Linked DNA regions of Lepisosteus oculatus. The protein of the gene in region 3 purifies or fractionates together with the protein of the main gene of each other region. This does not show direct contact. Links are inferred from orthologs where the notes say so. Each region holds a gene or a part of one and is shown on either strand. Other genes may lie near its edges.

Region 1 (10,493 bases), on a different chromosome or scaffold from region 3:
TGATGAACTAATATAATGAACATTCAGATCTGCAAGTTTCTTTTTGTTTCTTTGAAAGAAACTCAGCTCAACACTATTTTTTCCGGTTTTCTAAAAGTGAAATAAAGATTTCTATTCATTATGTCTGCAAGACATATTAATTCAGTTAATTAACTGTCAAAGTAGCTGTCAAGTAAAAGACGCCAGCAAAAGTAGACATAAAATCTATGTACAGTAAAACCTCAGATTCTGACATTCTACTTCTGATCTTCTTGTTCAGTTAAGGTATGATTTGAAAGTTGACATTTTTCAAGATAGAGATGTCATCCTTAATGCATTTGGATTTAAGCATGCCAGGTGTTTTACTACAGCAGTCTGAATGAAATAATTTAACGAAGGGTACGATATTGGTGCTCCACCTGGGATTTGAACACAGGGCATACCAGTTATGTGTCAAGAGCCCTAACAACTTGTTGTAAGGAAAACATTTTACATCAGGTTAGTATATAAAACAGTAAAGCCATATTCTGATTGAGTTCTTACTACTGCAGACTGTGGTGTTCTTAAGATCCTAAGCTTAGGGTGTTACAAAAGTATTTAAGTCCTTGCACAATTTTCACATTTTGTTGATTTGGGGCTTTTGGTCCCTTAAGTAAAGCAAGCCAGATACCTTTACAGTTAGTGAGAGCAAGATGAAGTGGGATAGAATCAATTGGTGACGAGGGGAAAACACATGCACACATTTCCTAATTGAGCCTCAGAGATGGACTGAGAAGCTTCCAGCTTCTGTGAATCTTCAGGAATGCCTCTCAGACCAGGCTTATCCTGACACCACAAGCATGTAAAACCACAGATGAAGAAACCTTGGATGAAGACGAAGAGGTATAATGGTGTTCACAAACTATTAATTGGCATTACAGTACATATACCAGTAACAGATTAAACATTTCAGAAAGTGATTTTTAGGGGGCTAATGGTTAAACAATCCATTTGTAAGAGCAGAGGATTCAGTGTTGGTGTCTTTACCTATGTGAAAATGATTTGGATGTTGTAGTAAATTTATCACTGTCGTCATTCAGGATTTGTTAAGTGGTTAAGAATGTAAATTGGATAAGAGTATGCAATACTGAGGTTAAGGTAAACTTGTATTATACTTAAGATAGACCACACAGGCAACACTGTCTTCAGTTTAGAGACTTACTGTAGGTGCTTAAACTGAAATTATATACAGTATGCAGTTCACATATAATTTCAGTGATAAACCTGCAACCAAATGAAAATAAACACTCGCATGCTGAAAATCACATTTTACAGATATTAAATTAGCTAAAAGTCTTTATACTATGTAGGTAAGAACTCGTATGTGAGTATTGGTTAAGGCCATCAAAATATTGATGTAATGAACAAGGATCTACCGTAAATTATGGTACTACCAGCACAATCTGGGGTTACAAATAGCAGGTGGAATATGAAGAGGTGAAAAAAAATCTTAATAAAATATTGCAGTTTTCCCAGCTGATCAAATACTGAATTCAAGCCTCTAGGATCCTTGACCAACCAGTTTATGCTACATTACATTCTTTTTGCGGGAACTGATAGTGGCTTTGAGCTCCTGTACCTGTCTGTCTTAATCTCTCTTAATCTTTTCTCAGTAAAATAATTCTGTATATACTTTTCTTAACAAAGGTCTTAGAAACAGTAGACACACTCAGGAGTTGAAATATGTGTGTGGTATTGCCATTAACAATTACCTTAAAGCCTCCTTTAGTGTTTTCTGTTGTTATAACAACTTTACCTTAATAATACCTCATAGTTTGCGTAAGAAGAAACCATAGCTTCTTGCACGGAAGAAACTGGAATACTGAGCAAAACTGATAAAATGTAGAGAAAATACACAAAGTGTATCAGACTCATTTAGAAAATAATTGCTGTTCACATGCATTTACAATTGTTTTTTGCTTTCTTTAATAAAATTTTCACATTTTATAGTCAGTATACTATAAGGGCTAGGTAGAAGCAAACACTGTTAATTAAATTATTAAAATGTCATATATAGCAAAATAAAATATTTATTCTGTAATATGTAATGGTAAACTTTAAAAAGCTTTGAGGGTTTATGGTTTTACAGTTTTCAGATCATTATAATGTTGGGTTTTCAGGGTTGTTACTATGATACTGTACATCTGTGCATTGCATAACAGTAATATCTTGAACATTATATAACCATACCTTTAAATTTAATGGGGGTTTTGGCCAATAAAGCTCAATTAATTAATCTGTATGTTATGTAATGGTAAGTACAAACTAAACTCAAATGAACACACTGTGCCTTTTTATCTTTAATTAAAGAAATATCAATTATGGCACAAAATCTGTAATTAGGAGGTGTCATCAGGGCAGAGTATTACAGAGACCTAGAGCTCCTTCTAAGCCTACAATCCATTATTACCCTTTGTTGCCAAAATGAATATGAAATAATTTAAGCACACTTTAAAACATAATCTTCCATTGGTCTTACAGTAGGTATCACTAAAAGCATTATAAAACAGAACTGTGAAGATTTAAATCTTAGAGATACACTGCCATTCTATATATATTCTAGCTTTTCTAGCTATTTTGTTAGTCGAGGACGAAAACAAAATGGCAATATTACACCTTCCTTAGGTGATTAATGTACATTTTAGACATTTATATTTAGACATATTGGGGCAGTGCGGTGGCTCTGTGGCTAAGGATCTGTGCCTGTGGCTGGAAGGTTGCTGGTTCGTATTCCGTGGCTGGCAGAGGAATCCTACTCCATTAGGCCCCTGAGCAAGGCCCTTAACTCCAGCTGCTCCAGGGGCACCGTATAAATAGCTGACCCTGTGCTCTGGCCCCAAGTTTCTCTCCCTGTCTGTGTGTCTCTGTGTCTCATGGAGAGCAGGTTGGGGTATGCAAAAAGACAAATTCCTAATACAATAAATTGCATATGGCCAATAAAGTGATCTTATGTTTGTTAACATGTTTGAAACAAAAGTTTTAGAAGGCTAACACTAGCTTTAATAGTGCTTGGACAAAATCCAAAACAAAAGAAGCATATTGCCCCAGATGTATGACTTTATTGAACTTTTCCCAAAGTTACCTCAGATTTGATCTTTAAAATATGTTCTTGTTCTACTTGTGAAATGAGTGATTTACTTTTCACTTTGTGCTTTTACCTGTCTTAATTGATTAATGCCTCTACAACAGGTGTGATATACTGTGAACTCTATGAACTCAGTTTCAGAAGACACAGACAAATCATTGCAATGCCTTATTGATATTTTAGCTTTAACTCTCTTATTTTGAGGGAAGGACAGTTGGCTATATGGATGAGGAAGTTAAAATCTGCCTAGTCAATCTTGCTGTATTGGTGGTGGGAAAGTGTAAGTGCACCAAACACTGGCAAATAGTGGTCTGGTGGGTGTTATACCCAAGAGTTAGGGTCTCTAGCCATGGTCCCAGAGTGTCCCTATAATTATTTAAGATGGTGTTGTTTCACCAAGTAATTTAGAGATCATTCGGAACAAAAATTAAAATATTCTTCTTCGGTAAGAACCAGTGCACCCTTCATTACACATCACTTTCTTAATGAATCTGTTGTTTAAACAAGTGTTCCTGTTCTTTAAATAACGGATGATTTATTGTGACCTTTAAGAATAATTGGATTAAGTCTTTCCAGTACCATAGTTGGAGACTAGTGCCCCCAAGCCATTGATTGGTGGCAATAGGGTCTTATCCTGCTAGTAAACTTTCTTTATGTGCTCCTTATGTTGGCATGAATCGAGGAATAAACAACATTTTACACAATTTCAAATTGCTCTGGTGAGTTAATCATTTTCAGGCAAGAGTATAAGATGATTACTTTATTCATTGAAGCATGCCCATAAATTATGTGTTTTTTCTGTCCTTACATGTATATTTGAAATGATTGTTTTTGGTTTAAAAGTTTCCTGATGTATAGCAAAGAGCAGTTGTGAACAGAACATTATCTGTCGAAAGGCTGAAGGTTTCTAAGACTTAAGCATTCTGTAGAGACATTTATGTCTTTGACATTATATATTGTGGTGCTCTTTGCACTTTCCATTTACGTGCAGCAGCACAATAGTATGACATTTCAAATTTTTAGCCATTTTGTTTTAAGGTTAAAGACTGAAAGGTTTGTATTTTAAAGTACAAAACATTGTCTTTTAGCTTTAATTGGAATTGATTGGTTAATGTGATTGATAGGCTACTGCAACTATTATTAAATGGTTTCTCATGTATCATTTGTCTTGAGCTGTGATTGGGATTTAGAAGATCTGCCCTGTATAAAGTAAAGATTGCTAAATTAAATGATAAGTATGGTTTATTCTCATCCAAGCTAAGGTGTATTAACCAGATTTTTATAATCGTATAAAACGCTAGTGGAAGCTGTGAGTGATTCATACGTGTATTGTAAGATGTTTAAGATTTTTACATAGTACTGTAGGTCTGATAATTAAGGATTGTATAAGTTTCAGTGTTTCAGAACCTATTCTGCTGGACCAGTCAGAGCATATTAAATCATTTAAACTGGAGCCATGGACTACTACATCTCAGTTTAATTTAAATAAAATAATAATAAAATAACAAGAATGTAAAGGATTAGGAAATCTATAAAACAAACTTGTTTAAGTAGGACAATGAAGACATTTTGTGGGATTAATAATTTGCACATAAGGCAATGTTATTTAATATTTTCCTTTTATTTTCAGATATAAGTAGCATAGCATGTTATGCAATCATGTATAACCTGTCCTCTTTATACACTGTTTTGTAAACTAAAATTGACCTTGAGCATATCAATGAAGTAGCGTATTGTCCTATTGGTCTTAAGTGGTTTGTTTTCTGTAAGGAATTTTAGATGCGATTGGCTATCAGTTTTCCAGTCTTAATGTTTTAATGAGAAAACACATCCCATATAGCAAATTGAAAGTGAGATTGCTTGTGTTTTACAAAAATTGTTGCACTAAATTCTAAGTGATGTGCATTTCTGCTGGTGTGCTTTAGGATGCACAGTATTTAACTTCCAAAAGTCAACATCTTTTTAAAGTTTTTAATTACTTTAGTTCTTGTGTTTTGTGACTAAAGCTGCCATCTTGTTTGTAGAATTTATTTTTTGAAACTGGACCTGAATTTATTTGATCAGTGATTACCCTTGAATGCTGGATTCCTACTTTTAATTTTTAATAGTATGCAAGACGAATGAGGCTTGCGGTCAAACGCATCAATTAAAACCCTCATTTATCTCACTAGATTTCCTAGACTGCACATGTATGTTGCCATATTCTTTTTTTTAACAAACTGTCTTTGAGTCATTTCTTCAAGGAGGCAGGACAGTTTGCTTGGCGATAACCCCTAAAATGTGGAGCAGACTGAAATAGACACTGGGGCTCAGGGAATAGCTTCCAGTTCTGTACCTTCTGCTTAATATCTGTCACATTTCTTTCCTGCCTGTGGTTCTTGTTGTTGCACTTTTCCTTGACACTGAACCGTTTGGGAGGTGTCTTACTGTTGAAATTTGTGCAGCTCTTCCAGGAGGCTTCAGTGTATCTCTCCTGTCCTCTCTATCTAATCGGCGAGCTCAATGTTGGCAATGGCTTCTTCTTTTTATTTTGCGGAGAGGGTGAATAAAGTGGGAAATGCGAAGAGAGGTAAAAGACAAATGCCGTCTTAAGAGTCGTTTTTGTATTTTGTAGCAGTTGGGTTGTTTTATTTTAAGGGCAGAAACCTGAATTCTGCCAGGTTCAGCCTTAAAGCGATGTAGGTTTTTGTAATTGCAAATGTGAGTATTGAAATGTGACTACAGTATTGACAGAGCTTATCAGGACTTAGGCTCTCATATAAGATTGGTGGCATGAAAAGTGAATCATTAGTAAGAAAAGCTTGAAACTTGTGAAGATTAAGCCTTCGTTGAAAGGATAGGGAGGGCTTTACATTAATAGCTGTAATTTGTAGTTTGAACATGTACAGTACAAGATACATGTCTAAAATGCTTCCTTGTCAGTATTGAGAAGAATTAAAATTTATATCTATCACTTTCTAAATTGGAGTTTGCTTATAGGAAAGTGAAGTCATGACTTCATTTGTTGTATAGTACTGCGTGCCCTCTTTCTGAGTGATTGTTAAATCCTCAAAATGTGTTAAAGCCTGTTGTACAGAAACAATAACTTGAATCATTGGCACTCTTTCATGACATTTCAGAATACTTTTCAAGGGTTGTATATTTCACGGTATAAATAGACATTCAGCATTCATTTTTCTAATGTGTGTTTTAAACTCCATTGAGATTTCACCTGCCATTTCTTATTACATTATGTTGGTAGACCTAAAATGCAGTGTAGCCTGTACTTTTTTTGTCCCACAAGCTGATTTGTTTTAATGTTATTCATATATTACCACTTGAAATCTAGAACTGTATTAAGCAAGAAATATATTTAAAACCTATACAAATGACAGATATGTTAACCAATAATTCATAGTGGTTTTTGTTTAAAGGCCACTGGATTATTTGTAACTCAATTTGTACAGTGTAATTTATTTTTTCTAGTGGAGCGTTCTTGTTTACTTTACGTCCATGCTATTAGAGCCTAGAATGGTGCATTTGTTGCATCTGTGTTTTCTCTTCCAAGTGTTGAAGCTCATTTTGTCACTTGTGCTGTGCCATGTATTTACTTGTCACACACCAATTGCAACTACTGGGTTGTGAGTCCAGACCTTGGCCAGTTGTCAAGTACTCTTGTTAATTTTATTTCCCAAGGGATTCAAAAGAGACTGACACTGAAAGATGTAGTGATTGAAACATGTATTAGTTATGCCTCTCTTAAATGTTTCTGCCCCATGTTGCAAGGTCTCTTCTTAAATTGCTCTACCTTAAATGCTGTGTTTTTTAAGCGATCTTAAAATAATGTGCCCTTGATACTGTGAAGCTTTTATTTATTAGAGCAAATCTGCAAGAAAACTTGTGCCTACTTTAGGGGACTGTTTCTGGAAAAAAGAGCTTAACAGCAAGGCCACAATTGTTCAGAGCCTCAGGTAAAACTCCATGTGGAGGAGTATTTTTGGAATTTGGGTTACAGATTTCCCAGGAGTATTAAGAATAGAGAGCAACCAAACAAGTATTTTTTTTTGGAATGAACACAAATTAATGGGGAATTTGGGCAACACTGAGAGCCTTTTCTGTTTAATTTCAAATTAATTGCTCTATATGTTAAAAATGTGATCGCAATGTCTTTAATTAGTACAATTTACAAATATTCCCTGTTTTTGTGCTCAAAAGTTCTAATGTGTTAAGAAAACAATTTGTTTTGACTAATATTAAAAACAGGGCAGCATGGTGGCATGGAGTTTAGATTTTCTTCCTGTGTTTGTGTAGTTTTATGCCCACAGTCCAGATATACTGCTAGGTTAATTGAATTCTGGTAAATTGGCCCTGGTGTGAGTGTTTTCACCTCTGTGGTTGTGTGTTTGTGTACCCTGTGAAGGACTGGCAATCCAGCCTTGTGTCAGTTGCTCTGTGGGACGGGCTACTGCTTCCCCTCGCTCCAGAATTGGATGAAGCAGTTAGAAAATGGAAGGATGGAATATTAAAGACATATTCAAAATGGACATTCATACAATTCTTTTGCTATACACACAGCGATTACTATTGAAAGTTTTCCCATTGAAACACTTTAAGATTACAAAAGGAGCAGTCTTTGTTTTTGTCTGATCTGTTGTACAACAGGATACTTAGACATAGCTCTACTTTTGTTATACAGTATATCATTGTGATAAGCTGACACTTCCAAGCAACATAATGGCAGAGTAAATTGTTTATTTTATACACTGTGTTACAGAGAGCTGGACAAGGATTACAGTGAGAGAAGATACTGTGATCTCACATGAAGAAAGTGGCTTGTTAACCACTACCCTTAGTTCAAGTTGTAAGGGATTTTGATTTAAGATTTTGATTATGGTTTGATTATAACACCACCAATGAATCTATATCACATATTTATAAGTACAGCAAATTATAATTTAATGAGTGCACAAAGTTGTATCTGGTGTACTTTCACATCGTAGGTTATTGTAGTAAAAGGATATTAACATGGCAAGTCTATAGTGTGGATTCTTATCTTAAGTCCATTATTTTTTATAATGGCCTGGAAAAGCTCAGATAAGTTATGCCTGCTGTTCCACTTTATTGTTCCAGATCTATGGTAGCTAGTTAAATAAAACCAAATTCCTACAGTTAGTGAAATATTTGCTTTGGGAGATCTTAAAATTTAAACTAAAATCTCATATTAGAACACCCAAGCTTTGCTATAATTACTGAAACTGTGCTCTGCAAGACAGATCCTAAAATAGATAGCTCAAAAATGATTGAGAAAGCTGTATTTACATAGTTTACTTAAACTCCTCAGTCCCTATGAACAAATGCATTGTTGATATAAGGTTGTATCTACTGTATGGAAAGAAAATCAATTGCAAATTCATATTTTCTTAGGTGACTAGTCCTAAACAATATGAAATACCATTAATGAAAATAAGAGGAAAAGGCTAGAAGAAAATATTTTATGATTGTATAGAATCTTATCTCGTAGGATTGGGACCTTGCAAATTGTGGGGCATTTTTTGCCAGGATTTAAGGGCAACCAAAACCTCACTAAATGCAAAGTTTGTCTGAAATTTCAGAAATACTGCTAGTTGTAACTTATTTTGACAGACTTAAAATAAACCACCCATTAACAGTTTGTTATGAAGTGGATAACTGTGTATGTACAAGACATTCTACAAAATGATGCAAGTACAATCTGTAAAAACCGAAATAGTGTGGAAGAAATAATTAATACAGTTGTAATACCAATTCATTTTATCATTGCTGATATGAAAATTGAACTAGCTTGTGATTAAGTGTCTGTATAGGTATGGGTGTCTGTATAGGTTGGAATTTGTCAAATCCAGATTATGCATACTATTACTATTAATGTAATATCTTATTAAAGGTGTACTTTCATTTTAATTTTCAGACAGTTGCTGCTTTGTCTTTTGTTAGATCTTTATAGGATTGCAGTTGTTGCAAAAATTGATCAGTGAAAGGTTGAATGTGCAGTGGTTGGAGAATTGACAGAAAATAGAAAGGCTTGAGTAATGAACCAGCAGTTGTGTGCTTTCAGTTAAGGAGTCGAGCACATATACCCTTCTGTTTCGTCCCCATCTGCATCAACAGCCGCCTTCAGAAAAAGACACATTCATTATGCATTCAGAAGATTCACAAACGCTCACAATTAAAATACGAAAAGAGATACTCAAACTCTCATGTTTGTGCTGCACTGTGCCGAGTGAATGTCTTACCTCTGGTCTGCATTCTAATCGCTTAATTACTTGTGGTCTCTTTCTTTCAGCTGTTGAAATGATATTTTCCCTTCAGTGTAATCATATTACTTTTAGCTAGTTTATATTTAGTGTATATTGAACTTGGACTTCTGTAAAATGTATGATGACCGGAGGTAATGTTAGCACTTTATAGCATATGTAATCTTGTTGGATCTGGGAAGCTGAGCAAAACTGGTGCTGAGTACTAGGATTGGAGGGTTGAGAGGAGCTGCGTGAACTCCTCTGAGAAACTCCGGAAAAAAGAAGCCTTCTTAGTATGGTGACATTAGACAAATATTGTTTTGGGTGGGACATTAAACTGTGCTCCTGTGTGCTTGGCCGTTAAAGATTCCATGGCACCGTTCATAAGAGCATGGGTGTTAACCCTGGTTTCCTGGCTAAATTCCACTTTGGCCTTGCCCAGTCTGATCTGCCTCAGTTCGGTTGATGAACAAATTTCCTGACAAAGAAAAGAAATGAGCTGTAGGTGCATAATGGGTGTCCATGTAACCCAGGTGGGTACTGTACTTATTTGGTAGATGAAATGGGCCCCCTTCCGCATGTAAAGCTCTTTAGAAACCTTTGGGACAGAAATCACTGTATCAATTCAAGTTATCATTTAGATTCAGGAAGCACCACCAATGAGAAAATTCTTCATGTTTCCCAAGAATGAATAAAACATTGCCTTATCTTACATTCTAAATCACCATCGTCATGCCTTTTGGCAACATTAGGAGTGAACCTGTTTTATATCTAATTTCTACAGGCACACTAAAAAAAACATTGATTGTTTTCTTTGTTAAATGATCTTATCATCTTATCATATCTCATACCGAGCAATGTCTTAACACATTAGAAGGGTTTTTTACAGGTTGACAGCAATTCCTGCGTGAAAGCAGTGATTCTAAATATATTGGCATATGAGTGCTTTTTTTGTTGTTTAATGCATTTTCCATTGTATTTTACTTTTTGGATTTTTTACTTGTTTTACTAAGGCAAGAAAAATATTGTGTGCAAACAAGACTTCACAACATACCATTTTTGGAAACGTCTGTATAAGAAGCATTTCCATCATGTTAAGTAAGCTCTTTTTTCCTCAAACATTACTAATTTCCTTC
Region 2 (10,549 bases), on a different chromosome or scaffold from region 3:
GGCTGTATTTGAAAGTTTCTGCCTCATTCGAAAGCCCACATGCACAAACTTAGCTTATCTTTCTATTTAAACACTAAAAAGTCACTCCCCGCCCCCCAGTGCTCACACTGTCCTTGCCTTGACGTGTCCAGTTTCAAAGACCATGTGGGATTCCTTCTGCCGCCTCATCACAGATGCACTTAAAATATCGCTCTGAAAGAAAATGATCTAGGAGGGATAATAAAGGGAATAACATTTCACTTGCAGAATTAGTGTGCCATGGGAGACTAATCCAAAGCGAAGAGCTAGGGTAATGATTTTGCTTTTAATTATTCAGCTTTACTTATTTGCACATTTAATTATTCATTTGCGTGTCTGTGAATTTCAAACACCAGGGGAGCCTCTGGAAAGACAAAAGTCTTGTTAAAAGATGTTCACCTGGGAAGACATCCAGTACTGCACTGTAGTACCATAACAGCCAACGCTTGACTAATAGGGCAGGTGAGCATACCATGTGCTGAGGTGGGGAATGTGTCACCCACTGGAGGATGAGCTTGTATCAATCATACAGACAGCTCACTTTTAGTTGTATGCCTCCTAATTTGCATGTTTGAAACTTCAGAATTTCATTATTTAACTCAAGAGGAATCTGACAGCACAAGTTAAACTTTGGCAGCATTTCAATTTACTCTCAGCGTTGATGGATACATTTCGAGGAATCAGAATGCAATGCAAACAGACTGAAATGACTACACAAAAGGGTTTCAAGATCAAATACCTTTCCTGAAAGTTTTTTTTAAATAAAAAAAGTTAATGACTGAAAACTCTATCAATTAAAATTCAAATCAATAAAGAAAACCAACCATCATTACAAAGCGAATAATATAATTTGCATTAATTTTAAGTTTTACTATCAATTGCTGTAAATTAGAATTTGACCTGAAGTTATAGAATACTGCAAGGGATCTTTGTGGAACACTGCTAAGTTCTTTCTACTGCTGGTTAAGAACTGTACTTTCTCTTTAATTTCCTTGCAGCACTCGAATACATGGCCTACATTATGAAAAAATCATTACCCTTTTTTACCACTTATTTGTAGACCTACCTAAATGCTAATCTTTCTAACTTGAAAAGGCTATCTTTCAGAGCTATTTGCTCAAGTGTGAACTCCCGCACTGTTTTCCATTTACAAATGGAAGCCAAAATTATAAGCATTACATTGTTCATGTAAGATTATGCACCAGTAAACGTCTGCAATTGTTTACAAAAAAAATCAGGAGTCAAATACAAAAATCACCCTTTAAAACACCATGCTCAGCCAATGTAAAACTGGGAGCTCGCTCTTCTCAACCCAACCTGCCCACAGTATAAATTTCTGCCTTCTACAAGACCATCAGCATGAGGCCGTGTTTTTCATAAGCTCATGCTGATCCTGTTTCTTCTTAGCTTTTTGAAGGTTAACTTTTCCTCCAAGTTTAAGCTTTTCATTTTAATATGAATGGTATTACAAAGCGTATTTCAACAAACCTAGGTTCTGTAACTGATTAAATCCTCCTTTTCAGACCTAGGGTACACCCTGTCTTCTCAGTCAAACGCAATACTTTCTCTCTTGTGCAGTGCAGTGCAAGGAATCACTTGCTTCAAAACCCACGGCAGCTCTCCTCATCTGCCGGTGCTAAGCTGAGGTTTGTATTGTCACAGGCTTCAAGAGCTTAGCCCTCACCTGGAGTTTCCCGATCCACAGACAAGACATGGAGAGAGGAAAGGGTCACCATTAGATACAAGGAATCAAGATCAGCTCCCCAACTCTAAATCCGAGCCAGAAGGAGAACACAAAGGCTGGAAAGATCTCCAAAATCTCTCGGAGGAGGGCACTTATTATAAGGGAAGCCATGGCACACTATATCAGATGTTCATTCTCTGAACATTGTTTCATCTCTTTGGCATTTTTTTATAATAAGATATGATTAGAATCAGAGTTAAAACACGTTTGTTTCATAAAGCACTGCTTTATTTCTTTAGCCAGTGGGAGTCGTGCTCAAGTAGTCTCATATCACAGTCTTTCCAGACTATCGCAGTCCTTTCAGATTTTACACTGCTTTGCTTTGTTCTCCATAGCTTGTACATAAAAAATTCAATATGCAGCCACTGAAATGAAGCAGATACCCACAAAACAAAACTTCCATTAATATAGCCCTTAATGACAGATCTTTGCACCCCATGCTTAATATTTTATGTAAAATAAAATCAATAACCAACTACATTGATTACTAACTCTGTACATAAGCAATGAAACAGTACTTTCCTCATTCTTAACTATTAATATTAAATTAATTTAAACTAATTTTTAATTCATGGACATGAAAATATTTTAGAAATCCTGAAGCAAATGTAATCTAAGCAAAACTGGTAGACACTCTACTTCCTTCTTCAGCACATGAAATTACAAAACAACCTCTATATCTAAATTACCAAAAAGGTAAAAAATACAAAGATTTATCCCCCTAAGAGGATGGGAAATATCAGTTCAGTGAATTCCGTGATATTTGCATCTTTCTATAGATTGTTCTAATGAAACAAGAATCATTAATATCACTAAAGTGTTTCCCTTGCTGAACACATGAACTTCCCAACACTAAAGTCTATATTAATGTTGTATTTAAAAGCTGTAACGAAGCATTTACTGACAGATTGGGCAAACTCACAGCCTCCGTTTCATTCCTTTGCAAACCCAAATAGTTTTATTAATGAACTCTTATTAACTTATCTGATTCTGTCACTGAAAGTGACTAAAATAACTGAGGATTAGCCTTGCCTCAGACAGAGATGTGAGTGCCAAGGTTGGCTGTGCCCGATTTATTCGTTAGTTTCAACGTGATTAATCACACAATCTTTTACGGCAACATCCCTGAATCAATTAGCATGGATAGGCGTGAATCCCACACTGATCCAACAGTGGTGTCAGAATGCAAACAGCTAGCTCTCTTGGAGCAAAACAGAAAACATCCCCACCTCTGTCGCTTCAGGGTGTGTTTTCATGGCATGCACTTTAAAGAACTTCTACCAACACCTCCCCCTCCTCCATCTTCTGTTGCCCTTGTGCTCTGTCATGTTTCCTTGCTTCAACATAAAACTTGAGAATTAACACACCCTATCCCATCCACAACTCTGCCTGGTTTTCTCTCTTTCATATAGTAGACGTGAATGAGTTACCACTCCATAAAGAAAAAAACCTTTTTGACTCAATTTTATGTTTTGTTACAGTCAAGTCTTGTACCCTACATGTAAAGTATAAAAACTGCCCAATTTATCACCTATGAAAACGGCAAAAAAAAGGTTCACATGCAGCTTTTGACTCCACTGTCTTGAAGAAGGCTGTTCTCCTCACTGCCGGGCTTCTGACGTTTAAATCGCGATTCATTCAAATCCCACGGGACTCATTTCCTCTAATAGCCTTTCCCAATTACAAATCGCCTTACGACCTCTGCTCGGAGATGTGCCATAGAAGGCAGCATTTTACACTCGTTCCAGGTTCTAAAAGAATGCAAAAGCTTCCAAAATGGAAGGGAGTGCGGGCAATACTGAGCCTATTGAAATGATGCATTTTAAAAGCTTGGCGCCAGTCGCAGGATGGCAACCTGACGGAGCTGGATTTTTGTTGATGTAGTTTTGTTTTGCGTTGTGTTCTGACCCAGACAAGGCTCATCCGAGCCCGTTCACCTTGTTACACTTAGACCAGATGGGGCAGTAATTCTTCACATTCCGTCAAGACCTCTTAGCGTCAGGACTGCTGGTCAAGGCGCAGAGCTCAACTGCCAAACAATACTGTTCACCCCAAGCCAGCTGGCTGTTATTCCAGCAAGACAGCTCTGGATCGCTAAATGCAATGTATTATTAGAAATTAGCTTAGGAAATATGTCTTACATGACCTAAGCTATTTAAGCACACACTCAAATGCACGACTACACTATACACGTTTGCAATCATAACTTCAATTCAATCGGACAGCAGTTCTAGGGGATGAATACGATTTTTCAGAGGTCTGCTAAACTGAAAGGCAGATTAGAACTTCTTCCGTACAAACGTTAAAGCAGGACAAGTCATTTGTACAATTGGACAAACCAGAAAGAAATAAAAGTAGTATAAAACGATAAATTAAATAATAATACGTTTCTTTTACTACCGCAGCTGTGTTTTAAGAGTGCTCTTAAACGGCAGCTGGTTTGCACGATGAATGGAACCAAAAACCTGTTTCAAACCTCGTGTGATATAAATACACGTACGATGGGAAACATAACCAGCAAAGTTTAAATGTTCGTTGAAATACGCGACGTAGCTACTGTAGATGGCTAAGCTTGGCATTTCGGACAAGACGATACACACCGCAGATTTACAGCCTGTACTCGACTCTGGTTGGGGGGAGAAAAATGTATTTTTTTACAGCTAGCCGACCCCGATCCTGGTGTGACACGAATGCATGTCCACGTTGGATAGCTTAATTATTGCCGTGCTATTTAGAAAACCCGCCCTAAACGAAAACACAAACAGTAAAAGTTGCTGTTCCGTGTTAGAGAAGACCACTTACCTTTTATAATCCGCTCGGTGGTGGATTGCTTATTCTGGTCTTTCCCAGACATCTTTCACCTCGACTCACCTCAGGAATTTTGTATTCTAATATTTCCCCCTGCGTACGCTTATTCTGTCCTTTTTTATTTCCCCTCGAATTCAAATCCAGCAAACCAGGACAACCCAAAATGGGAGTTCCTTGGTTAGTTAGGAGGTGAAAAAAAATGTGAGGGGAAAGGGGAAAGGGGGGGAAACCCACTTTACTCGACGAAATTATTTTTTCCTGACAAATTTTGCTCTCCCCTCTCTTCTTTTTCGTTAGCTATCCAGCTGCTGTCAATTTCTGTCACAGAATCAGTCCAAACCAGCTAACTTAAAAAATGTAGCCAGGAAAAAAAAAACGGTTTTGCAAATCCACTCTCCCAATTTTGGCGAGTCGAAGTCTTTTAATGCCACGGTGTTTAGCTGCTGGGTTATTTGACTGTATTTCACTGCTTTCGGGCCTATGTCTGCTTTAGGGTTTTTTTCTTCTCTCTCTCTCTCTTCGCTCTATCTTCCAGCCTCTGTCCCTGTTCTCTCGGATTAAACTCTGTAATCCCCCCACAAGCGGATTTCCTACAACATGGCGGCAAGAAACTCGTGAAAGCAATGGCTTTTGGGTAAAGTAGTCTTGATACCGCAGGGGAGGAGAACTAGTACCGTGCTCGAGTCACAGAAAATACTACATTTCCCAAAAAAGACCTGCATTATCGTATTTGATTAAAAGGGTGCCACCGTGGATTTCTGGGAAATGCAGTTTAGGACTTCAGTACTGTTTTAAATGACAGTTCACGTTTTGAACTACATATTCCAGAAAGCGCTGCTTTAGACACAAACAGTATGAAGGCCTTCGGGAAGTTGTGTTTTATTTAACGTTGGCGGTCTTTTGACTAAAATGACAATGATGTGTGTTCTGCAGCTTGAATCGACTTTTATGTTCCTGAACAGTATTCATTGTCTAGCACTAGAGATGGTGCTTAAATTTCAGATTTCGATATCAGATTTACAAATTGCAAAACCATTATAAATCATTCTGTAATATCCATACACTGTAAATTATATTCCTACACTTCAGAAAAGTTGCATCTGTTCAGACCCACAAATATGATTTGCAACATTTACTGACAGAAATTTAGAAATGTGGAATTGTGAATTTACACATACAATGGTGATAAGTGCAGTGAGAATGCTGAAGTTCATTTTTAAGCACTTTTCAAATGAAGCAGAAACTCAATGGTTGTAATGCATTCTTGGAATAATGATGTCATGGATGTTGCGAGGTGAAATGACCAAGTCGTTGAAAGGCCACTCCTCTACTGATGCTGCCAAGTGCCAATACCACTCAAGATCCAGCAAGATCTACTCAACCACTCATAGGACTATCAAGATGGTCAACACAATGCATCACGTCTGCACAGTAACAGTGATGGTTAACTCAACTATTTCTTCAGGCACCCGACAATATGGTAAGAATGAAGCAATGTCATTTGGTTTTGTGTGTGTGTGTGCTCAACAGAAAAAAAATAGCAAGGGTGGCATTCTATGTCTTATTTCATGATGGTAGAGCATAGTATACTGTAACAATCACTATAAACTGAGGTCTAAAGAAGCAGCATATGGGGTGGTTGGATATTTATCGTCACCAGTGACAGTATTTGTTCCTGAAGATTGACATAATGTAATGTAGTAGGTGACATTCAGACACCAGAAACTGCAAAGGAATCCATCTTGGGTAAGCTAGAGGATATCCATTAGAACATAGCTCAAACCAGTAAGTCTTAAAGATGATGGTATAATAACTATTTCTAGGGATCAGAAGCTCTTGTTAGGCTAATGATCTCCTGAGCAAGTAGTTAGTCATCTTAAAGGAAGTCTGGTCTTTAAGGGCTAAATATTATTTAGGTTTTTTTCTGTTTCAAGCAATCTTTAAATAACAAAGTACCTACTCAATGAATAATAAAACTTCCAAATCTTTATACATTGATGTTTTAATGAATTTAGACTAAGAAGGAACACGGCTTCTTCATGGTATCTGGATCGTACAAGAAAAGGTTCAGCAATATTTATAGTCTCAAAGGACAGTACAAAATCAAAAGATGGAACACACCACTGAGGTTTAATGTTTTGCCATTGTCTAACAATTTCCAGACATGGGGCTTAAGAAACAAAAAAAGCAACAGATTTAAATTGAATAAAAAAAGGCCTTTACTAGGGGAAATATACAATAGAAAAGCTAACCAGGTTTCTACAAATGCACTAAAGAAGAGACATACACAACATTTTTTTTTACTTTCTCCTAAACACTTGTATGTCAATTTAGCTTTGCTCAGCAGTATTAAATAAATATTTAAATACATTTTAAGATGCTTAAACTGCAGGCTGTTTCCTATCCCTTTTTGTTCAGCACAGATCCTCTCCCACCCCCTCCAGTCATCTTAATGGGAGAGGTAGTAAGTATGTAGGACGCGTACATGTAATAACACATTTGCTTATTTTCAGTTTGAGCACCAAATCCTCAAAAAACACATTGAAGCTCTTGACAAGAACAACCTAAAAGAAAGTTGAGGAGTTACACATAAATTGTGCTCTCTGGAGGATAACGGTTTAAGACGTCATTCATAATAAGGGCAATACAGGACTCTTGGATTACTGTCAGTATTCCAGTATTCTTCCAGTTGAATACCAGGTATGTTATACCTTGATCTTTGTAGAGATAATATATACAGTTGTAAGAAAAAGTTTGTGGACCCTTAGGAATTATATGGATTTCTGCATGAATGGCTCCTAAAATGTGATCTTCATCTAAGTCATAATAATAAATATAGTATTATTTAACAAACAACACACACAACATTTTACATAGCCATATTGTTATTGAACAAATGGTTTTAACAATCAAGGTCATTGATAGAAAAAGTATGTGAACCCTTATATTTAGTAAGTAATGAAACCCCCTTTATTGGCAATAATCTCAACCAAATGCTTCGGTTAGGTGGTATTTAGGCCCATTCCTCTATACTAAACGGTTTCATTTCATGTATAATTTTGGGATGTCTTGCTTGAACAGTCTGTTTCAGATCACGCCACAGCATTTCAATGGGATTGAGGTCAGGACTCTCATACAGAAGAATACGGAATTTCTTCTGTTTGAGCCACTCTGTTGTGGATTTACTCCTGTGTTTTGGATCATTGTCATGTTGCATGACCCAACTTCTTTTGAGTTTTAGATCACAGATTCCCTGACCTTCTGCTGTAGAATATCCTGATACAACTTGGAATATATTAGTCCCTCAATGATTGCAAGCTGTCCAGCAAAGCAGCCCCACACCATTATACTCCCACTCCCATGCTTCACAGCTGGGATGATGTTTTGGTATTGGTATATGGTGTTTTGTTTTCTCCAAAGAAAACGCTATGTACAGTATATTTACCAAAAGGCTCACTTATTGTCTCATCTGTCCACAGAACATTGTTCCAGTAGTGATGTGGACCATCCAGGTGGACTTTAGCAAAGTTGAGACAGGCAGCAATGTTTTTCTTGGAGAGCAGTTGTTTCCTTCATGGTCACCTCTCATGAACACCACTCTTGTTCAGTGTTTCTTATGGTAGACTCATGAACACAGACATTATCAAGTGCAAGAGATGCCTGCAGATCCTTAGCTGACACCCTAGGGTTCTTTGTCCCCTGTTTGAGGATTTTATGATGTGCCCTTGCTACCAGTCTTTGTAGGATGCCCACTCCTAGGGAGAGTAGCAACAGTGCTGAATTTCTTCCATTTGTAAACAATCTGCCTGACTGTGGACAGACAGAGGTCCAGGTCTTCAGAAATCCAGTCTTATGAGCTTCAACAACTCTTCTTCTGAAGTCTTTTGAAATCTCTTTCGATGAGGCCATATTGCAGTTCAACAGAATTCTGTTGTGAAGAGCAGGTAACCAAAGTTGAGATTTTTTTAATATGGCAGGGCAGGTCAAACCCACACCTGAATTGATTAGAACACCTGACTCCAATTACCCTCTTTTCAAGATGTCATTATCCTAGAGGTTCACCTACTTTTCCCATCAATGACCTTGACATTTGTTCAATAAAGATACGACAATGTAAAATGTTGTGTGTGTTGTTTGTTCAATAAGACTGTCTTTAGTTATTATTAAGACTTAAATGAAGATCAGATCACATTTTAGGAGCCATTCATGCAGAAATCCAGATCATTTCACAAACTTTTTCTCACAACTGAACATTTGAAACTGGAGATTGGGTATCTAAAAAAAAAAAAGAATTTTGAATGTGAAACCAAAGCCTGCTGAAGACTAAATAAATCAACAGGCAAGTAACATTGTGACTCCCATTCTCTCCTTTTTCAAGAACTCACATTTTGGTTTCTCCATTTACATTTTCAATGATTGTGCATCATAAAGTCTCCAATGGCATTGAAGCCCGCTCCCAAAAATAATTCAACACCTACAAGTTGCTCATTCAGTTGATGTGACTCCATTTAGATGAGAGCTAAAGGTTTTTCTGCTACAAACAATTGTCAAAATTTGAAAGCTCCATCATCTAAGAATATTGATAAGAATACACATTCTAACAGGCTACAGAAGAGATTACAAACTCTTCTAAGTGTTCTAATAAGGTAAGGGTGCTAAACTAATCACAATGCCTCTAATGAGCAGAAACTGTAATGTAAAACCTCTTAATTTTAGCTTATTCTACTAAAACATGACATGCAGCACCTTGAATTTCATCAGGTTAACAATTTGGTAAGCAACATTGTAAATCAAAACTAAACTGAACTTCCTATAGTCATGAGGGAAAGTACTCAAGAGCTGCCAAATGATTAGCGAACATCGTTGGTCTATAGAAACTTTAAAAACAGTTTGACACAGCTAATTCAAAACAGAAAACAGGCTCTATCCTACAGCATTTTGTACATGACAAAACTTGTACAGTGTAATCTATGTAATGAGTTTTATATTTGACTTCTTTACAAGATATTCTTGTAAAGTAAAAAAAAAGTGAGAAGAATGGGGCTCTTTGGGAGATCAACTAGCCTTTTACCGCATTTCAGTTATCTTCAGTTTGACAGGGTGGTGGAAGCATATTTGATCACATTTAAAACTCGGTCTGGAAGCTGGACTGCAAAATTCTCATGCATGCTGTTCATTTTGAACTTTACAGAGACGAAAGAAGACACTGGGTAGCATCTGTTCATCCATCCAACAAGTGCCTCAAAAAACAGCAAGTGACCAAATGCCCCACCCATACCAAAAGGTACTTCTGATAAGCACTGCTAGATACATTTACAGTACACAGACTCTGCTGTTGACAGCCAAGCGCGGCAAACAACCAAACCGTCCATCAGCCAACACTCATCCAAGCATCCAAGCGTCCAATCCAGGGGGATTTGAGCAAATGACAAATCTGGTGCCGTTCTAGGTTCAGCTGTTTAAGTCTTCGATTTAATTAAGTGATAAATAGGGAGTTTCACATGTCTTATAAAACTGTCAAGTTCTGTGAAACTACTTTTTTAAAGTTTAAAACTTAGTAGTTTAGAACTTTAGAAAGTAGTTTCAAACTACTAAGTTTGATAAAACTACTGAAAAGCTATCAATTTCAGTATAAGTGCACAAAATCCTTTTCTGCCTCAAAGCATTCATTTTTCCTTTCCTTGAATAAAAACTGAATCATAGCCCTTTATGGGGAAAAAAAACCCCTGGGAATCACTATGTAGAGTGAATTAGCCCTATGGGGAATCTCTAGGGAGATTATTGTACATCTTTTACTATTTAATTAATAAATAACACCTTGCATATATAAAAGCACTTTTCATTCTTAAAGATATCAAAGAGCTGTGCATACAGAAGGGATCGGCTTCATCCACCACTTGGGTGGCAGTCATTGTGTGCCAGCAACCCCAGTAAACAGCAGATCAGGCACAGCAGCAAGAATCTGTTCAACTCAGGTGG
Region 3 (10,766 bases):
CCAAGGCCCCAGCCGGTAAGGTAGCCACGTTAACCACTTTGCCACCATACCACCGCTCATATGTACATCATAAATAAATATCTGCCTGGGGGCTAACAGGGGAAATGGGCAGTATAACTACCAGCGTTGTTTACCTATCAGATCCTGGACACAGATGCGGTGTCCAGTTCATTTTACAGATCACCACCACTTACTGATAAGTGGTAATAGTGCTGAATTATTCAATAAATGTAAGAGGTGGCACGTTGTTGAAACGTTTAGCAAGTCATAACTCCTAGAAGGGACTGTGAGTTCACAGGAAGATCGACCGGCTTCATTATTATAGTTCCTTTTGGTTTTTAGAAAAGGACACTAGGCCGTGGCTCTCTAGGTGTGAGCTAGACAATTGTGGCAAGAGCCGGAGAGGTTCTGGGGAGGAATCGAGGGGCACGCCCTGCTGGAAGGGGTTATACTGCACCCCCCTGCTGCATGTGCAGGTGTTCTTGCTCGCTTACAGGCAAGCAAAAATTCCCAATTCCAGCTGTTAGTGTTTCCAGGCCGTCCAGCCCTGTCCCCGATCCCCGTTCCTGGGAGGAAGGGTGCCTTCCAGCGAGCCAACGATCCGCTCTGTCTCAGCTTGAGCAGCCGGAAACTCCAGAATAAAACACCCTCCACAAACAAAGGCCAATTCACCGCGCGGTCATGAGATTCCTCAGCTCTGCTGGAAAGACAAATAAAGATGTTTGCCGCCTGGAATAAGGATCTCTGAGTCACGTCTCTCCAAGCGAGATGCAAGATGATGAAGTGTTTACTGCGCCGACAACGTGACCCGTGCACAGAAACTGTGAGACCGCAACACTGTGTTTTTTTAAAAGGGGATCGGACCAACGGCGACCACACAGGAACCGGGCTCACAGCAACTTTCCAATAGAGCTTCTGGAGATTTCTAAAGACATCACACAGCCAGAAAACACTGCAGGCACCTGGCTTGACAGACACAAATACGTGTGGCCCTGTGACTGGGTGGAGGTGCTGAAAGGGCACCCACTTTTAAAGACAGCAGGACAGAGATCGGTACCCTCCAAGAGCAATAAAAGCCGGTGCGTCACCATCAGGAGTCCCAGTCGCAGATTCGGGAACGTCAAAGGGAACAGAAATAAACATTCTTCACCTGCACCACTGAAATCTTCGGTCTACAAAACACGTTTTTTCTGCAAGGTTTCCTTCTCCTTCTCTGGCCAATATTTAATTAAGTAACGGATTCTAAAACAGTCTGAAAGACGCCTGCCGTGATGCCGGTTCAGATGGGCTCGGAATCGAACAGCGCACACGGGAAGAAGAGACGTCACTTGCTCTGAATACCGACGCCTGGATTACAGCACAGACTAGCGTTGATCGACACTTTTGGCGGTCCAACCGTGAAGAACGGCCAGAACAACCGAAGACATCTGTGAAAAGATGGTTGATTCTAATAATAACATTACTTTATTAACCCTTTACAATTTCTTGCATTAGGAATTATCTTTTTACATACTCCAGCTTGCTCTCCATGAGACACACAGGTAGGGAGAGAGCCTGGGGTCAGAGCGCAGGGTCTGCCAGTGTACGGCGCTCCTGGAGCAGTATGGGTTAAGGGCCTTGCTCAGGGGCCCAATGGAGTAGGATTCCTCTGCCGGCTGCGGGATTTGAACTGGCAACCTTCTAGCTATAGGCGCAGATCCTTAGCCACAGAGCCACCGCTCCGCCCCAAGCAATGGCGGAAACAACAACTTAACTTGGGCTTGTCTTGGCTTTCAGTGTTTCAGTGCACATATGCAACAAATAATACTTTTTCAATGACGGTATTTCCAGCACGGCAAATGAAGAACTACATCACTGGTAGCTTTCTTGTAAGTGATCTTGAACTTTCTCTTTTTCCCCTTTTAACCCAGGAGAGGCCACCTCTGGGCCAGTGTGTCTGTCGGTTTACATTCCAGCCCAGCTCTTAATGACCTCAATCAATCAGTGACCTGGAACTGGAAAAATGGATCAACTGCCACCGTCTCTTCAGGTGCTGCTGCTTTCAAGAGACGAAGAAATCACAACCAGAGCCTCCTGGCTCAGAGCTGAAACATCCTGCTGTAAACAATTAGTCCAGATCCCAGGCTGTCACCACCATTCTGCAGATAGTCTACTGATAGCACCTCCATCTCCCGCACAGTACATTCCATTCCTGAGTCATCATGGCTCGGTTTTCCATCAGGAACTGGAAAGCACTGTTTCACCACACTGAACACTGGGTCGTACCCGTTACTCAGCCCCTAGCCCTGCTGCCACACTGCCCTGACGTAGTCACGCTCCAGGGATAGAGCCCAGCAGGGGCAGAGCCGGAGCTGCTGCGGGTGACCGACTGCTCAGTTAAGGGGCAGTCTCGAACCCAGAGCGCCAGTCTGTAATAGTTGGCCACCACTCGTCTCGCACCCTGAGCCCACAAGGGGAGAAATGGAGAATCCAAGCTGGGCTCCTGGAGCTCTTTCTGGGCTAGAACTGGTGGATCCTTCCCCTTCCTACCTCAGTTCAGCACCCTGCTCCTGCCCCTCACCCAGGGAAAACACACGACTCGCCCAGCACCTCTCCTCCACACAGACGCTGTGAATTTTCCAGCAGCTCAGCAGGCTGGTTGTCCATTTCTTATAGTTCCCACCCAGAGCTCTGCCCAGGTGCTGGGTTGAGTCTGACATACTTCACTGGGTCTTTCAGGAGACATGTTTCCTCATATAACACACTCTCGCGATTTGAGAACCACAGAGACACCCCCAAAAAAACCTCAGGTAGCCCAAGGCATCCACCCGGTAGCACATGGACCGCAGAACTTTGTTTAAAGGACAAAGTTTGTGCCCAGATCTTTTCTCCAGGATTTACAGAAGTTCCTCCCAGCACAATGTACACCAAGGATGAAGAATCAGTCCAGGTAGGCCTATATGGTTAAAACACTGAGTGTCGTGTCAGAACCAAGCATCGGTTATGTCACTGTATTCCTCTGATGTTTCTATCCAAAGAAATCTTACACTGGTACAGGGCTAGATAACCTTGCTCAAGGGTACAACAGCATTGTCCTACCTGGGACTTGAACCCACAACCCTCTGGTCTTGAGTCCTTAGTCCTAATCACTGCTCCACACTACTAGACACACTAACCCAGGGCTCCTCTGTGGCACAGCATGACAGAGAGCTTCCAGATTTGAAGACAGGTGGGGGGGCTCACACCCTGCCTGGGGGCCACAGAGTCTTAATTGATTAAATTACCCCACACCCCCACCCCACTGGCTGGTTCAGAAAAGAGCAAATCTATTTCTATAAAGTTATGAAAAATGATATTGCTACTCTGGAATCAGTCCAGAGAAGAGCTGCCAGATACACGCTGGGGCTGAAGGGAGTGTCCTGCACTGACAGGCTGAAGGAACTGAACCTTTTTAGTCTTGAACAGAGAAGACTACAACGGGACCTGCTTCAAGTATTCATAATCCTCAGAGTCACTGAGAGGATCAACCCAGCGGACTTCTTAAGAAAGTGACAACATATAATAGGGGACACAAGTGGAACGTACATGGGATTGCACTTAAAACTGAAAACAGGGGGTATGTCTTTACACAAAGTGTTGTGGGAGTGTGGAACAAGCTGCCCAGCCACGTGGTTCAAGCTGATCACCAGGTCTCTTGCAAGAAACATCCGGATGAGATTTGTGGATCAATTAAGCACTAAGTATAACATGGAACAGACAGGCACCACTCGTTTGTAACCTTTCTGATAATGGACACTTGAATTGAGTCCTCAACCTTGTCAAAGGTAGGTGTGGTGACACCTCTGTCCTTTAAAATATAAAAGGAAGTTAAAACTCAGGCACAGAAAAAGTTGACACACAGCGAGATATATTTCAGAACCTGAATCATTCAGTGCAACCATTCAGTATAAAGGCATTTATTTTCACCGTTAGCCGTTTCACTATCCTTAACCCGGACACAGCAAAATGTGCTCGTCCTTCAAAATAGTCGCGCGTCACCTCAGGGTCTGCAATTTTCCAACAAAAAAAAAAACAGACGAGTTGCGTTTTCCCTGGAAAATTAGAGAGCGCATGATTACCTATTAGGAATGTGCACAACAGGCAGATCGGCTCAGGTTTATCATGCGTAGATAACTTAGAACACCCTGTAAACGGGGGCTAACCCCTCCCTTTTGTGGTGCATGAAACTGAATGTTGTGTTATTAAGTGACACTCCTGGCTGCAGCTGCTCTTACCGGTCTCTGTCAAAGGCGCAGACGTGTTTGTGTTGGTGCACCCCCACCACCACGATAAGACGCACAGACAAGGAAAACCGCTGTTTCATCCTCACCCTGAACTGATGGTCCAGAAAGACGTCCTGGTCCACCTTGCAGGCGATCAGCGCGTCGGGCAGATCAGTGAAATGGACATCCACCGTGGCCTCCTCCTCGCTCTTCTCCTGCTGTAGCATGACGGGCAGGCGGATGGTCAGACGCGTCCCCCAGAGGCTGTGCACAGTTCCCCACCCAGCGAGCCGCCGCGACAAGAGCCGCCCCTGCTTCCTCCAGATGCTCAACACATACAGCGCACCCCGAATGAGCCCGTCGCACTTTCTTTCTGCTTGCAACGGAACTCAGCGTGAAAGAAAAAAATAACCGTAGTCTGTCAGGACCGGTTTTCTTAAAGACATATGCAACTGTAGGGCCGTGTTAAGTAGATCTGACGGGGAGCTCGGCTAGACCCTTGGCCAAAATCCGTCAACATCTCTTTCCGTCATGCTGATGACGTCCAATTTCGTTTCCCAGTTGCGCTGATGCAGCGCCTCACGAACTTCCTGTCACACCTCCCTAGCCATGCTCCGTCAGTCTGCCCGGTAACAGCGACGATTTTGGTGGCTTGGTGTTGTGCTTTTTCTTTTAAAGTCATATTCTGTTGGGTTGAAATATTCCTTCCGTTTTCGCCACAGCACGTACGAAATAAATCGGTAAAAAACCTACGAATTATTACGAATAAATTAAACTGTGCAATGCCCTGTGTGCATGTGAATTAATTCTAAAAACGGCGCTATTGGCATGCAAACCTCGGAACCTTTAACAGCTTGCGACCAGAGCCAAAACTCTTCCTGCTAGACCTGCGGAGTCACTTGGGACACATTCTGGTTTGCGGTACCCGCTGTGCCGCTCTACAGAGCACTGTGGTGAAAACATAGTAATTCGAAGTAAACTGATATGAGCTCATTGGAAGGGTGTGGCAGAATACAGCGTCAGGTAGAAACTATAACACAGTCCATAACACGTCATTTAAATGTGCAGTGCTGACTGTAGTACTGAGATGTTCTATATTCTAAAGTGTCCTGGCATCATTAATGTAATCTACCAGAACAGTGTCCCAACACTAACAACAGGACCCTCATTTGCAGGAGTTGCTCGGAATCAGGACCCTCGCTACAAACATACATTCACATTAACAGATATAACTGTTATTGCTATTTTTTTAGAGAAAAAAAAAGACTCAAAATAAATTGCATCTTTTCGGGTTTGCATCTCTTGATTTCACTTACTGCTGGGATTGGGGGTGAACTCCTTTGTTTCTGGCGACCTCTTGTCAAGAAAACCACCTAGTTTTCCTTCGTGCTCGTTTCTTTCGGTGTCCCTGTCCGTCCAGCGCCCACGCTAGTTTTAACACGGGGTTGGCGAGGCCTTTAACGTTCGCATCAAGAGTTTTCCAGAGCCATTAATAGTGAAAAGGAATTGTTTTACAGAGGTTAGTCAGAAAGGGCAGATCTTGTTGAACTCACTTATTTCACTTCTTTGACTTGCATCAGAAATGGATGCCATTAGAGTGTATGATGTAGTACATTTAGTTTTTTTAATGTATTAAGTTTCACATTAAATAATAGCTCTTAAATTGAGCAAGATATGTGCACATGGACTGGTAACTAAATAAAAGGATAAGAATAACTATCAGGGGAGACAATTAAAACGGACCTGCCCCAATTTGTGGGGTACCTCAGAGATGTGAGTTTAAATCCTTGCTTTTCTTAATTTATATAACCACATTTTACTCGGGTTTACCTAACAGACCTGTCAGATTTTGTTTTTCAGGATTCCAAAATACAAGGAGTTGGGAACTACTGCAAACACTGTAGAACCCGGAAAGGCAAATGCAAATCAGAATAGAACTGGATACTCCTCAGAACCAGGCTCAGCTCATACAGGTCCAATAAAATGTGATAATAATAATAATTGCTTCCACTTATATAGCACTTTTCTGGACACCCCAGTTAAAGCGCTTTACAGGTAATGGGGACTCCCCCCAACCACCACCACTGTGCAGCATCCACCTGGATGATGTGCCGGCAGCCATAGTGCTCCATTACGCTCACCACACACCAGCTACTGGGGAGGAGAACAGAGTAATGAAGCCAATTCATAGATGGAGATTATTAGGAGGCCATGATTTGTACAGGCCAATGGGAAATTTGGGCAGGACGTGATGCAGACCAGTGTCAAGCAGCAGAAATACACATTATAAGATGGGTGACACAGGTCTTGTGGCTGTGAAAAGGAACATGAGTGATCAGGTAGCCTCATCGTTTTCCTCCCCCAGGAGAGAGGGGTGGTAGAAATGATAACAGAATGCTGGGATAGATAATGAACTGAGTCAAATTAAAATCAAGGAACGGTATTCTAACATTCTACTGAAATGTATTAATATTAAAATTAAATGCTGGATCCCCTCTAGGCTGCCAGTTCTAATTAACATCCATCCATTCATTTTCTTACTGCTTTATCCAGTACAGATGTGCAGGGTAAAAAGGAGCCTATCCCAACAAGCAACAGGCACAAGACAGGACACACCCTGTACAGGATGCTAGTCTACTGCAGGGCAGACGCAGACACTCACACCAGGCCCAGTTTTCCCAGAAGTCAATTAACCTGCCAGAAGCTCATTGCACTGCGGAAGAAAACTGGAGCACCCTGAGGAAACCCCACATGGACACAGGGAGAGTTTGCAAATTCCACACAGATAGCACCCCACATCTGGAATTGAACCCAGGGCCCCAGAGTTGTAAGACAGCAAAGCTAACCACTGCACCACCATGCCTCCCACATTTCAATTTCAATTGCAATAAAATTATTATTCCAAAAAACTACTATAGGAATCACGCGAGTACAGTGTCAGAAAATATGTTGCTGGCTTCAAGTCTGGGAGCTGAGCTTTTCAGCTTCATAGATGAAACTAAACTAACAGCCAAATGAACATTAATAAAATATTAACCATCGTATTTAAAGGAGCTTTCTAGCAACTTATGTTAATTATTTTTATTAGTATTTATCTCCATTTATTATTTACTGTGCACTTCTTGAATGCACAGTCGTAATCACTGTTTTTGTAACTTACAGCATTAAGTCACAGAACAACGTTCTTATATTACCAGTTCGGTCTTGCTGTCCAGTTTTCAGTCCTGTGTTGTCACTCAACAACACTAGACAGCCCTCTAGTGGCTTGAAGCTGTATGACAACTCTTTCAGATGAGATACCCGAGATGTAACCGGCAGAACCTCGGCAGAAAGAAAAAAAAAGCTGTCTGCTCATCAAAAAGATATCACATACACCGAGGAAAAAATAAATATATGTTATTTCATTTACATCTTATAGGAAATATCGGTGAAGGTAAACAATAATGTTAGGATATGTAGCTAAAAGTGTGCAATTTAAATCAAGGGATTTTAAATCCTCAGGAGATACCAACACTATTAACTCAAGCTGATGTCTTCTGAAAGACGCAAATTAAAAAGAGACAGAAACAGGCCAAAAGTGAAAAGCGCGTTTGAACCTAAGAGCGTGAGGCACAAGGCGATTGTGGGAGCAGGAAAAAAGATGGCCATGCTATTTCACCGATACTGACAGGGCTATCAAAACTCTGGAGTGACAATGCGCAATATTGAACTTTATCACACTTCTGTTTGTTCATTGATATACAATTGCGGCACAAATTATTTTCCATTATTTCTACAGTACTTTTGAAATGATTTTCATAGTGTACTTATACCCCTTAACAGACAAACTAAAAAAAAAATCTATACTTGTTTTATATATGTGGCATTATTTATAATCAAAACTGAGCAGAAACAGGCCGCAATGATGAACTTGTCAGGATCCACAGAGCCAGGTGGATTCTGCACATTGTTGGTGGTGGAGGGGAGTCCATTACCTGTAAAGCGTGTAATTATTATTCTTCCTTAATGGCAACCGAAGAATTCACCTCACAAACTGAACCTTTGAGCACACCCGTCTCTAGAGAGCGCTGTTTTTTTTTATCAGACGAATGGAGTGTTTCTAACTGCTGATATTAAACACCTACCACTCAATCAGAGAACTGTCTCCTCTTATCTGTTACTCTCAAACCACGGCTTTTCTCAAGACAGCTTTTCACGTAGACAGGAGAAGGTATTCATGTATCAATTGTATGAAGACCCCAGTTTCAGGGATTGGATTGAATTTGTGTTTCAGATATCACAGGGGCATGGTCAAAATGTCGCAGTGATAAAAAAAAAAACAACACATCAAATGCTTGTGTATTTGTAACATTTTCTGCTTGATTTCATCATGAATTGAATGCAAAGGGTTTGCTGCTACTAACACGTGTTACCTAAGATGTAACCAGCAGAAATAACAGCTGGGGTGGAGTCTCTGACACATTGTCATTCTAGTATATGTCTGCTCATCATAAAGATTCAGGTGGGTAGCTGCGTCAGCATGCGTAGGCTGCAAAGGAACAAGTTATAGGTTTATTCCATGCTGAAAAAAAGAAGAAAGAGAACACAACGCTTCGGCCGTGGAGCCTTCTTCAGGTGTGAGAGAGACAGGGCAGTAGACAAAGGTAAAGTAGTGGGAGAACAAAGGTTGGGAGGGAGGAGGAGTGAGAGGCGGGAGCAGGGGACAGAAAGAGAGGCCAATCAAGAGGTGTGAAGTCAGAATGGGTGCAGAGAGGTGTGAAATGAAACTTCCAATGAATGGAGAAAATTTAAAAGAACAGTAGTCTGTCGTTAAGGGAAGGGAGAATGTGTGATCCTAGCTGCAGAATAATTTTAGTTTCGGCCGAAACGTTGTGTTCTCTTTCTTCTTTTTTTTCAGCATGGAATAAACCTATAACTTGTTCCTCATCATAAAGATATCACATATCTAGAGCAAAATGGACATTTACATGAGACTGTTTACTTCTTGCAGACAATGTGGGAAAGGAATTAAAAAGGCGCCCCAAACGTTATGATATATAGTTAACAGCGTATATTCTAAAACAAGGGATGTTATGTTAATATTGTATAATACACTGGTTAGGGGTCATTTAGAATAGTGCAAGCAGATGGCTGTGTCACCATGCGTAGGCTGCAAAGGAGCAAGTACAGGTTTATTCATGGCTGGAAAGAAAAGAAAAGAAACACGTTTCGGCTGTGGAGGACACGCCCGAAGAAGGCTCCACAGTCAAAATGTTGTGTTTTTTTTCTTCTCTTTTCAGCACGGAATAAACCTTTTCCTTTTCTGATTCAGAACAGTGCACGATTTTGAGACACCAAGTAATAAAAAACATTGCTGCTCTGGAATCAGTCCAGAGAAGAGCAGTAGATACTCTCCTGGGCTCAGAAGAATCAGAAAGTCTCTTCCTGACAGACTGAAGGATCAAGACTCAATTCCTGAGGGAGAGGCAGGGATTCCTGGTCTGGTAGGATTCTTCAAGCACACCTAACAGAACAGAACTACTCATTTATACCAGAGGTGTCCAGCTCAGTTTGTTGAGGGCCTTGTGTCTGGTGGTTTTTGATCCAACCTGAGTAGTCCACTAAGCAATTAACCTAATTAATTTCTTTATCAGACATAAACATATTTTACACATAAACATAAACATTTTTTCTAAAAATACAACTCAGTAGAGTACAGTTTGTTATAAAACACCTTCAGGTCTCGTTAGATTATTCTGTTAATGAAATAATTACAGCAGTCATGTAACAGAGTTCAAATAAAATAAAAACTTCAGGACACTAGGTCATCCAGAAGTTCAGTTTGTCACACACTCGTTATACTTTGAGATCTGAGTTTCCGTCAGTGGGAGAAATGCTTGTATATTAAGTATCTCCAATGGAGAAGTCCTGATCTGAACAAGAGCAGAGCCTGTGTGCTCACTGCCAGAGCAGAAGTGTGTCGACAGTTTGTTTAAACTTCCTTTGCCCATTTCACAGAAAGGCAATTTCTACTACAGGCGGAGTCAGTACCGATCAGCACGGAGAGGAGTGCTCTCTTGACACACAGAAAGCAGACGTCATTTAAAAATGTTTACTAATCCCTGCAAGAAGATGAAAATTAGTCTGGTCTTCACAAGTGAGTATGGGGGAAAAATCTTTACTGGGCTTCACTCATTTCTGCTGCAGAGAGAAGGAAGGAGATCTGCCATGTACACACAGCAAGGGGTGCTCTTTCTGACCCTTGCATAATAAAAACTGAATTATGTTGTGCAAGGAAAAAGCAGGGTGTTACTAAAGGTTTTGTAAAACAAGTAGTGTAGAGAGTTAGGTGTTTACAAAAAAAAAGACTACAGAACCTACAAATCAATTTTTACATTTCATTTCTGATTTCCAGAAGTGTAAACATTGATCTTTGTCTTTTTAAGAAATGTTTTGTTTGACAACTTGGAAAATGAAACGGTTTGATTTCGGTTGCAGGTTTGTTTTTTTGCAGCTTGTTTGTTAACTGTGTGTCACTGACTCCTC

What was found.
Region 1: the proteins of rcan1a (region 3) and protein phosphatase 3 catalytic subunit alpha purify together in Homo sapiens (affinity purification with mass spectrometry; 5 studies listed by BioGRID and IntAct, counting the BioPlex papers as one, with this or other methods). This does not show direct contact. The link is inferred for Lepisosteus oculatus from reciprocal best matches to the Homo sapiens genes RCAN1 and PPP3CA.
Region 2: the proteins of rcan1a (region 3) and ppp3ccb purify together in Homo sapiens (affinity purification with mass spectrometry; 3 studies listed by BioGRID and IntAct, counting the BioPlex papers as one, with this or other methods). This does not show direct contact. The link is inferred for Lepisosteus oculatus from reciprocal best matches to the Homo sapiens genes RCAN1 and PPP3CC.

The regions. Positions count from the first base shown.
Region 1 is NC_090696.1:32,553,880-32,564,372, reverse strand, and holds the start of protein phosphatase 3 catalytic subunit alpha, read left to right. Parts: upstream 1-5,599; 5' UTR 5,600-5,605; coding exon 5,606-5,672; intron 5,673-10,493. UniProt on the Homo sapiens protein: Calcium-dependent, calmodulin-stimulated protein phosphatase which plays an essential role in the transduction of intracellular Ca(2+)-mediated signals. Many of the substrates contain a PxIxIT motif and/or a LxVP motif.
Region 2 is NC_090697.1:68,023,719-68,034,267, forward strand, and holds the start of ppp3ccb (protein phosphatase 3, catalytic subunit, gamma isozyme, b), read right to left. Parts: upstream 5,161-10,549; 5' UTR 4,617-5,160; coding exon 4,565-4,616; intron 1-4,564. UniProt on the Homo sapiens protein: Calcium-dependent, calmodulin-stimulated protein phosphatase which plays an essential role in the transduction of intracellular Ca(2+)-mediated signals. Dephosphorylates and activates transcription factor NFATC1.
Region 3 is NC_090708.1:26,438,742-26,449,507, reverse strand, and holds the start of rcan1a (calcipressin-1a), read right to left. Parts: upstream 4,825-10,766; 5' UTR 4,469-4,824; coding exon 4,349-4,468; intron 1-4,348. UniProt on the Homo sapiens protein: Inhibits calcineurin-dependent transcriptional responses by binding to the catalytic domain of calcineurin A. Could play a role during central nervous system development.